2 linked regions of the Canis lupus familiaris genome follow. The protein of the gene in region 1 interacts with the protein of each later gene in a biochemical or structural test. Links are inferred from orthologs where the notes say so. Each region holds a gene or a part of one and is shown on either strand. Other genes may lie near its edges.

Region 1 (3,817 bases):
ATTAGTTGGTACAGTATTTTCAAGTACTTTATAGAAAATCACATTATTTATTTATTTTTTGAATTTTGCTTTGCAGCTCCTTGATGCTTTTGGGCATAAATCTAATATTAGCCTTGTCTTTGATTTTATGGAAACTGATCTAGAGGTAAGATTAAGATTCCTAAGAGATTTTTTTTCTCTTTTTATCAAAAGAGAACCTGTTTATTTCCTACTTTCGAAGGTACTGTTATTCAAAGGAATATTTAATTTTTTTGGAATGTGAACGTACTCCTAAGTAAAGGATCTTCTGAATCATTTAGCCGTATTCCCAGTGTTAGATACAGAGATTTGGATTTCAAAACATTTCTATCTACCAAGCTCCCTCTACCTTATTGACATTATTTTTAGAGAAATGAGTATTAGGCCCTTGAGAATTTAGAGTTTCTTTTCCATATTATCACAGAATATCATCCTTTTGACAGCCAAGTTTTTTTTTTGTTTGTTTGTTTTTTTTTGAGAAAATGAGATCTTAGGCTTTTCCTTAATACTAATTAAGGAACCTCGAAAACTAACAACAACTGGAATTCTCATACACCGCTGGTGAGCATGCAGAATCGTACAGCCAGTTTGGAAAATAGTTTGGCAGTTTCTTAAACAGTGAAATACACTGCTAAAGAATGATCTAGCAATATGACTGCTAGGTATTTAAGAGAAATAAAAATATGTCTACCCAGAAATTAATTGGTACACAGATGTTCACTTTTGTTCATTATTGCCCAAACTTGAAACAATCCAAATATCTTTCATCTAGTTAATATAGAAACAAACTGTGGTACATCTTTAAAATGGAATACTGTTTGGGGATAAAAAGAAATAAATTGCTCATATATGTATATAACAGTAGAGAGGAATCTCATTACATAGATTGTGCTAAATGAAAGAACTCAGGCTCAGTCCAGGCTGTGTATTATATGATTCCATTTATATGATGTTCTGGAAAAGGCAAGAACTAAAGAAACAGAAATCAGGTCAGTGGTGGTCAGAGTTGGGAGTAGAGGGAAGTATTGGGCATAGAGGGGCCTGGGGCGATTGGGGTATGGGTGAGAGTTAAAAGAACTCTATCTTGATTATGATAATGGTTACACAACTGGATGTCTTTGTTAAAACTCATGGAACTGTGCACTAGAAAGGGCATATTTTGCCTAAATCTGATTTTTTTTTTTTTTTAAGAAATGGGATTGTTCTCTTAATTTCTCTGTTACTTCATTATTAGTATATGAAAATGCAACAGATTTCTATGTATTGATTTGTGTCCTGCAACGTTACTGAATTCATTTATCAATTCTAGTAGTTTTTTGGTGGAGTCTTTAAGGTTTCTTATGTATAGTATCATGTCATCTGCAAATACCAAAAGTTTACTTCTTGCCAATTTGGATACCTTTTATCTAAATATGATTTCCTTTTTTTTTTTTTTTTTAAGATTTTATTTATTTATTCATGAGAGATGCAGAGACACAAGGCAGAGGGAGAAGCAGGCTTCATGCAGGGAGCCCGATATGGGGCTCAATCCCGGGACTCAAGGATCATGCCCTAGGTCGAAGGCAGGTGTTAAATCACTGAGCCATTCAGACTGCCCCTCTAAATAGGATTTCTAAAAAAAGAAAATGATAACTTCTAGCTAACATATAAGCTTAGGAATAAACTGGCTTTTTTTTTTTTTCAATAAACTGGCTTTAAGCACAGTTCTCAAATAATGCATGAGAACTCAGTTGTGCACTTTAACTCAGCTCTATTTTCTTTGTTATCTTCCTTCATGGGCATAATTTCTCAATATAGTGGCTTATATCCTTAGAGTTTAATAATCTGTAAGGAAAGAAGGTGCTTTGTTCCCCTTGATTCTAGAAGTATTTGGCCTGTTTGATTAGCTTGGATCACATGTCCAACTCTAAAGCAGTCTTCTGGACAGCAGGCTTGAGTATGGTGGTTGGCTATGCCTGGGTCATGTATCTGCCTCTAGAGGCCACAGGTAGTGGTCAGTCCTGTTTTAAACAGGTGGTTTCCCAAAGGAATGTTGAATGCTATTATCAGAAGGGCTGTACATCCTGGGGCAAGCGAAACAACAGATGTTCACCATGTTAATGCCTTTTAAACAATGAAGTAGAAGAGAAAAAGCCCCAGCAGATACTTTCCCTAACTGGAAAATTCCGTTTCTGGAAATTCTGACACTGCTTCCTAAGGAGAGTTAGGCAGTGTTTCTTCAGATTCTCCCGTATGATGGATAAATTCATTATATGTCTGTGTGTGATTCTATATGATGTAATTTAATTGGAATAATTGTATTTTATATACTGGATTTACAGGTTATAATAAAGGATAATAGTCTTGTGCTGACCCCATCACACATCAAAGCCTACATGTTGATGACTCTTCAAGGGTTGGAATATTTACATCAACACTGGATTCTACATAGGGTAAGGTTTTTAACCAATTATGATTGACTTTTTACATTTTAGTCAAGTTTTATGTAACCAGTTATTACATAAATATTTGGTCTAAATACGTATATTATTAAAAATAAAGCCGGACCATTTTATCCCGTCTTCCTCTGGGTGTTCCCTTCAGTTATTCCACCAGGTGGTGCTAATGAGGACTGTAAAATACTATGTAAAATTTAGAAATGCAAGAGGCCCGGTTCTTCATTTTTTTCCATAGATGAATAGCTAATTTGCTGTGTCACCTGACCGAGGTTATAGTTTTTTCAAGGTCAGTAGCTGATAACCAACAGAGTATTAGAATCTAGGTCTTTTGGCTTTAAGTCCAGTATTCTTTATGCTATACTGTTGTGACAGGAAAAAAAAATACAGTGAGAGACTGGGTTAAATTATACATTGCTAAAATATTTTTAGAACAGCAATATTTCAGTAACTCTAAAATTCTGTGAAGTAATGAAATAAAGTTTCTGAAATGATTGAGTCAGTATTAGAAATATTTAGCTATTGAAACAAGGCTGACACTCTCTATAGGTAGATATTTTTAGGTACTCTATTTAGATAAATAGCTAAGAATATATAATTTATAGTCAGTAATTCTCGTACCTTAAACTTGGAATCCCTTTTAGGTTATTGCTAATATCTTTTTAGTATAGATTTTGAGGAATATGTTCCTCATTCTCTCTAAATGCATAATATTTTTATTTACTGAAGTTGCTGTGTATTACTGTTACTAAATTAATAGCAGCAATTATTTATTGAATTCCTCATTGTCATAGTAGGCTCGTTACAAAAAACACTAAATTTAATCCTCACAACAACCCTGTGAAGTAGGTAAATCCAAGGTCTCACTAAGTAATAAAACCAGTCTTTTGCTGTGGTAAGATTTTATATCTGATATGTTTAAATTTGAGGTTTTACCCTGTTTTGTTTTGTCAAGCCAACTAATTGTATTTTTATGGTATTCTCTCCCTCCTGCTTACTTGTTTATTTAAAACCTCCATGATACAGGATCTAAAACCAAACAACTTGTTGCTAGATGAAAATGGTGTTCTAAAACTAGCAGATTTTGGCCTGGCCAAATCATTTGGGAGCCCCAATAGAGCTTATACACATCAGGTTGTAACCAGGTAAGAATCACTTAAAAAACTGAAAGTTTATATTTTGCAGGATTAGTTTTTGTTTTTTTATTATTTTTTATTTTTTATTTTTATTTTTTTTTAGTTTTTGTTTTTTTAAAGTAAGCTTTTTGTAGGCCTAATAACATGGGGCTGAACTCAGGACCCTGAGATCTTGAGTCACATGCTCTACTCACTGAGCCAGCCAGGTGCCCCTATTGTATAGATATG
Region 2 (4,306 bases), on another chromosome or scaffold:
TTCAACAAACATTTACGCTAAATACCAGTGTTAGAAGCTGGGGATACTGGGTTCAAGCCCTCAAGGAGTCTAAATTCTAACTGAGGTGACAGATATACGAACCTATAAGCACAGCTGTTAAGAAAAACCCAGAATGCTCCTTTAATAGCAAAAAGCAATAATGTATTTCCTGCCCCCACACCTTCCTTCCTGCAGTCCCACCTCCTACATCAGATAATCCCCACTCCATCGTAGATTTGTTCTCAAATCCAAATCCTATGTCCTCTACAAAGCACCAAACCAATGCTACTTTTTTTCTTCCAAAAATCCTCCCCAGGATTTCCAACAGGTCCTGGCTCCCCAACCTGAGAATAGCTGTCTGCATCAGCATATGTAATCCTATAATCCCATTTCATGCTGACAACAAACTACTGATGGAAATACTACTGTCATCTTTCATCAATTATGACAGGGACTCTCTCTTTATCAGTTGCTGAAATCAGGATGGTGTCTTATAATTAAGACTAGCAGCATGTCTCTTAGTGGCACACTAAACAAAAACAGATCTCATAATTGATACTGTCTTAGATAACTTAGATGACACAAATATGGCATTCTTATTTTCAAATGAAAGTAACTTGCTCTAAGTCACATGGCTTGCTAGCAAGCGGCAAAACTCCCTGCTATGGAGCCAGATCTACTTGACTATAAAGACTGGCTTTTCTTTTTTTTTTTTTTTTTTCAAGATTTATAATTTTTATTTATTTATGATAGTCACAGAAAGAGAGAGAGAGAGGCAGAGACACAGGCAGAGGGAGAAGCAGGCTCCATGCACCGGGAGCCCGACGTGGGATTCGATCCTGGGTCTCCAGGATCGCGCCCTGGGCCAAAGGAGGCGCCAAACCGCTGCGCCACCCAGGGATCCCTGGCTTTTCAATAACCCATTGTCCACTTCTGATCCTCTTAGTATGAATCATCTCATTTTACAGTTAGTTGTCTTTCTGATCTCTCTTGCCAGCTCTGCTAAAACTAGTCCACTAGACTGTGGCCTCATTACAGAAAGAGGATTTTTGCGAATCCTGGGATGAAATAACAAGTGCAAATCACACACACACACACACACAAAAAGTGCAAATCACACACACAAAAATGCCTAACACAGAAGCAGCATTTAATAACTGTCTTTCACTCCTCTACCCACAAGCCCACAATCCTTTGGCCTTATTCTCCATGAGCTCCACCCCACAACTCTAGGGTCAGCCAGCCCTTGCTACTGCCCAGAAGCCTGAGAAAAAAATAAAGTATTGCCTAATAGGGGAGATGAGTACCCACACACACGGACTGCCTGGTCAACTTCCTTCTTTGAGTCTCTACACCATCATTTGTAGACAAGGCCCATGCCAGGCCTGCCTCTCTCAGGACTGTGGTATGTATTGAAAAAGAAGTGATCTCCCTATTTCCACTCTTGCTCCCTTATCCACACCGCAGCCAAAGTGATCTTTTAAAATTATGCAATTCTGGGGATCCCTGGGTGGCTCAGCGGTTTGGCGCCTGCCTTTGGCCCAAGGCATGATCCTGGAGTCCTGGGATCGAATCCCACATCGGGCTCCCGGCATGGAGCCTGCTCCTCCCTCCTCCCTCTCTCTCTCTCTCTCTATGTCTATCATAAGTAAAAAAATAAATAAATCTTTAAAAAAATAAAATAAAAAAATAAAATTATGCAATTCTTTAAAATTAATTAATTAATTAATTAAATTATGCAATTCTTTGCTTAAGACCCTACAATGGTTTCATACTACACTTAAAGTTCAACCTCTTTTTTCACCACCCACAAGGGCCATGCATCTGCCTAGCTTCTGACCTCATTCCTTTAGCTCACTTCACTCCCACCACCCTGGTCTCTTTTTTCTTTAAGACATCAAGCTAGGGGCACCTGGCTGGCTCAATTGGTGAAGCATCTGCCTTCAGCTCAGGTCATGATCTCAGGGTCCTAACATTCAGCCCCATATTGGGCTCCCTGCTCAGTGGGGAGCCTGTTTCTCCCTCTCCCTCTGTCCCTCTCCCTGCTCATATTCATCCTCGCTCTTGCTCAACATCTAATAAAGAAAATTTTTTTAAAAATCAGGCTCAAGATGCCTGGGTGGCTCAGTTGGTTAAGCTCTGCCTTCAGCTCAAGTCATGATCTCAGGGTTCTGGGATCCAGCGGCGCATGTGTCTCCCTGCTCCGCAGGGAGTCTGCTTCTCCCTCTCCCTCACCCCCGCTCCCCGCTCACGGGTGCGCGCACTCTCTCTCAAATAAATGAAATCTTAAAAAAAAAAAAAAAAAAAGACAGCAGGCTCTATAGCTGGTAGTTTAATGTATGAATGAAAGTCTCTCCATCTTCTTCTACCCTCAAGTTCGCCATTTCTTAGTGTAATGTAACGACTCAACTCGCCACAGCGCCTTTGCACACTCACTGGAGACTCACTCTCAGTACCTGGACTCTTATCTAAACGTAGCTCCTCCTTGGTCATCCCCTAATGACAGTACTGCAGCATCCCAGTATATTGTCTTCACAGCTCTTGTCACCCTTCGAAAGTATTCTTATTTACTTAACTACTGTCTGCCTCGCCCACTGGACTGCAGCCTCCACGAAGGCCCTGACTGCCATGGTCTCTGCTGTATTCCCCAGCGCATACAACAACGCTGGCACACCGGAGACCATTCAAAACTATTTATTGAATAAAATAACACATCTGCTACTCCTCTAAAGACCAGACAGGTTGCCCCAGCCCCCCAAATAATGCTCCAGCTCGGTGGTCCTGCCCAGTCCCGGGGTGGGGGTCCCTCCCCGCACACCCCTCACCGTCTGACACCATGGCGGCCAGGATCCCCCAACGCAGAGGCAGCGAGCCGTCAAAAGCTCCTCCCGGATCCTGCACACCCCGACTTCCGGCGCAGCCGAGTGACGCAAGAGCGGCTTGACGCGAGCCGCGCGCCGTACCCAGGGCCCCGGCCCCAGGGCGCCGGAAGTGGAGCGCGGAGACGCGCGGCGTGCTGGCAGTCCCTGTGGCCGCGAGTCCCCGCGGCGGTGGGACCCGCTCCAGCAGCGCGGGCTGTCCGGGTCCCCTCGGGCTGTGCGATCCAGAGGGCGCCATGGACGACAAGGGTAAGTCGTAATGGATGGGCTTGCTGGAACTGAAGCGGAGCCGCGCAGGGGTCCCCCCACCTGGCACGCCCGGGCGGGGCCCTGCGAGAAATCCGTTTGCAAGTTTAGGCTGCAGGGCTGTATTTGCTGCTTCCAGTCGCAGCTCAGTCCCTCCCGCTGCCCCTGTCTCCAGGGGATGGGTCTTCAGGGTATCCCCAGACCTTCCTCTCCCGCCGCTTTCCAACGCCCACCTCCAAAAAAGGGAGACTTAGACTAGGTGTGCGCGTCTCCGCGGTTGTGATTCCCCGCCTTCTTGGATTTGGTACTAGAATTTTTTTAAAGACGTTTTAGATGCGTTCATCTGATTATCAGGATGTTTCATTAAGTGAAACACAAGGGCAAACTGACTTATATTTCTCATTTAAAAGAAATAAGAGTGGGATGGGCTGCTGCATATACATGTGTATGTGTAAGTGGGTGAACAGGCTAGAATTGGCATCGACTGTCTGGACAGGTGGAGGGTAAGTTGATAAAGTGGTTGACTCTGGGATTCTCCTAGGACTTGTAGTCAAGGATTAGAGGGAGGATGACCTTCTGTTATCATGGGGTGGTGCTTAAATTTTATGCTCTTTGTGCACGGATAGGTTTTTCCAAAAAAATGAGAAAGACAGGGATGCCTGGGTGGCTCAGCAGTTGAGCGTCTGCCTTCGTCTCAGGGCATGATCCCAGGATCTGGGATCAAGTCCCACATCAGGCTCCCTGCATGGAGCCTGCTTCTCCCTCTGCCTGTGTCTCTGCCTCTCTCTCTGTGTCTCTCATGAGTAAATAAATCTTTTTTAAAGAGTGAGAAAGACAGCTCGTAAATACTAAAGTGGTGTCATCTCTATTCCTATCAACATTTATAACGCCCGTGAAGCCAAACACCCTGAAAAGAAAGTATTTTTTTTTAATAGTTTGCTTCTGGGGTGCCTAGGTGGCTCAGTCGGTTCACTAAATGTCTGTCTTCAGCTCAGATCATGATCTCAGGGTGCTGAGATCGAGCCCGGCGTCAGGCTCCCCACTCAGCTGGAATCTGCTTCTCTCTCTCTCCCCCTCCCACCCCACTCCATGTGTGCTCTCTCTCAAATAAATAAAAATATTTTAAAAAAATAGATAAATAAAATCAGTTTGCTTGTTAAGGTCAGCAGTCATTGAAAAGC

What was found.
Region 2: the proteins of CDK7 (region 1) and GTF2H3 form a complex in vitro, tested with the Homo sapiens proteins (2 studies listed by BioGRID). The link is inferred for Canis lupus familiaris from reciprocal best matches to the Homo sapiens genes CDK7 and GTF2H3.

What each region holds. Positions count from the first base shown.
Region 1 is NC_049223.1:53,560,063-53,563,879, forward strand, and holds part of CDK7 (cyclin-dependent kinase 7), read left to right. Parts: intron 1-76; coding exon 77-145; intron 146-2,339; coding exon 2,340-2,450; intron 2,451-3,479; coding exon 3,480-3,598; intron 3,599-3,817. UniProt on the Homo sapiens protein: Serine/threonine kinase involved in cell cycle control and in RNA polymerase II-mediated RNA transcription. Cyclin-dependent kinases (CDKs) are activated by the binding to a cyclin and mediate the progression through the cell cycle.
Region 2 is NC_049247.1:6,237,444-6,241,749, forward strand, and holds the start of GTF2H3 (general transcription factor IIH subunit 3), read right to left. Parts: upstream 2,945-4,306; 5' UTR 2,839-2,944; coding exon 2,826-2,838; intron 1-2,825. Other genes in the region: EIF2B1 (translation initiation factor eIF-2B subunit alpha), read left to right, coding at 3,116-3,128. UniProt on the Homo sapiens protein: Component of the general transcription and DNA repair factor IIH (TFIIH) core complex, which is involved in general and transcription-coupled nucleotide excision repair (NER) of damaged DNA and, when complexed to CAK, in RNA transcription by RNA polymerase II.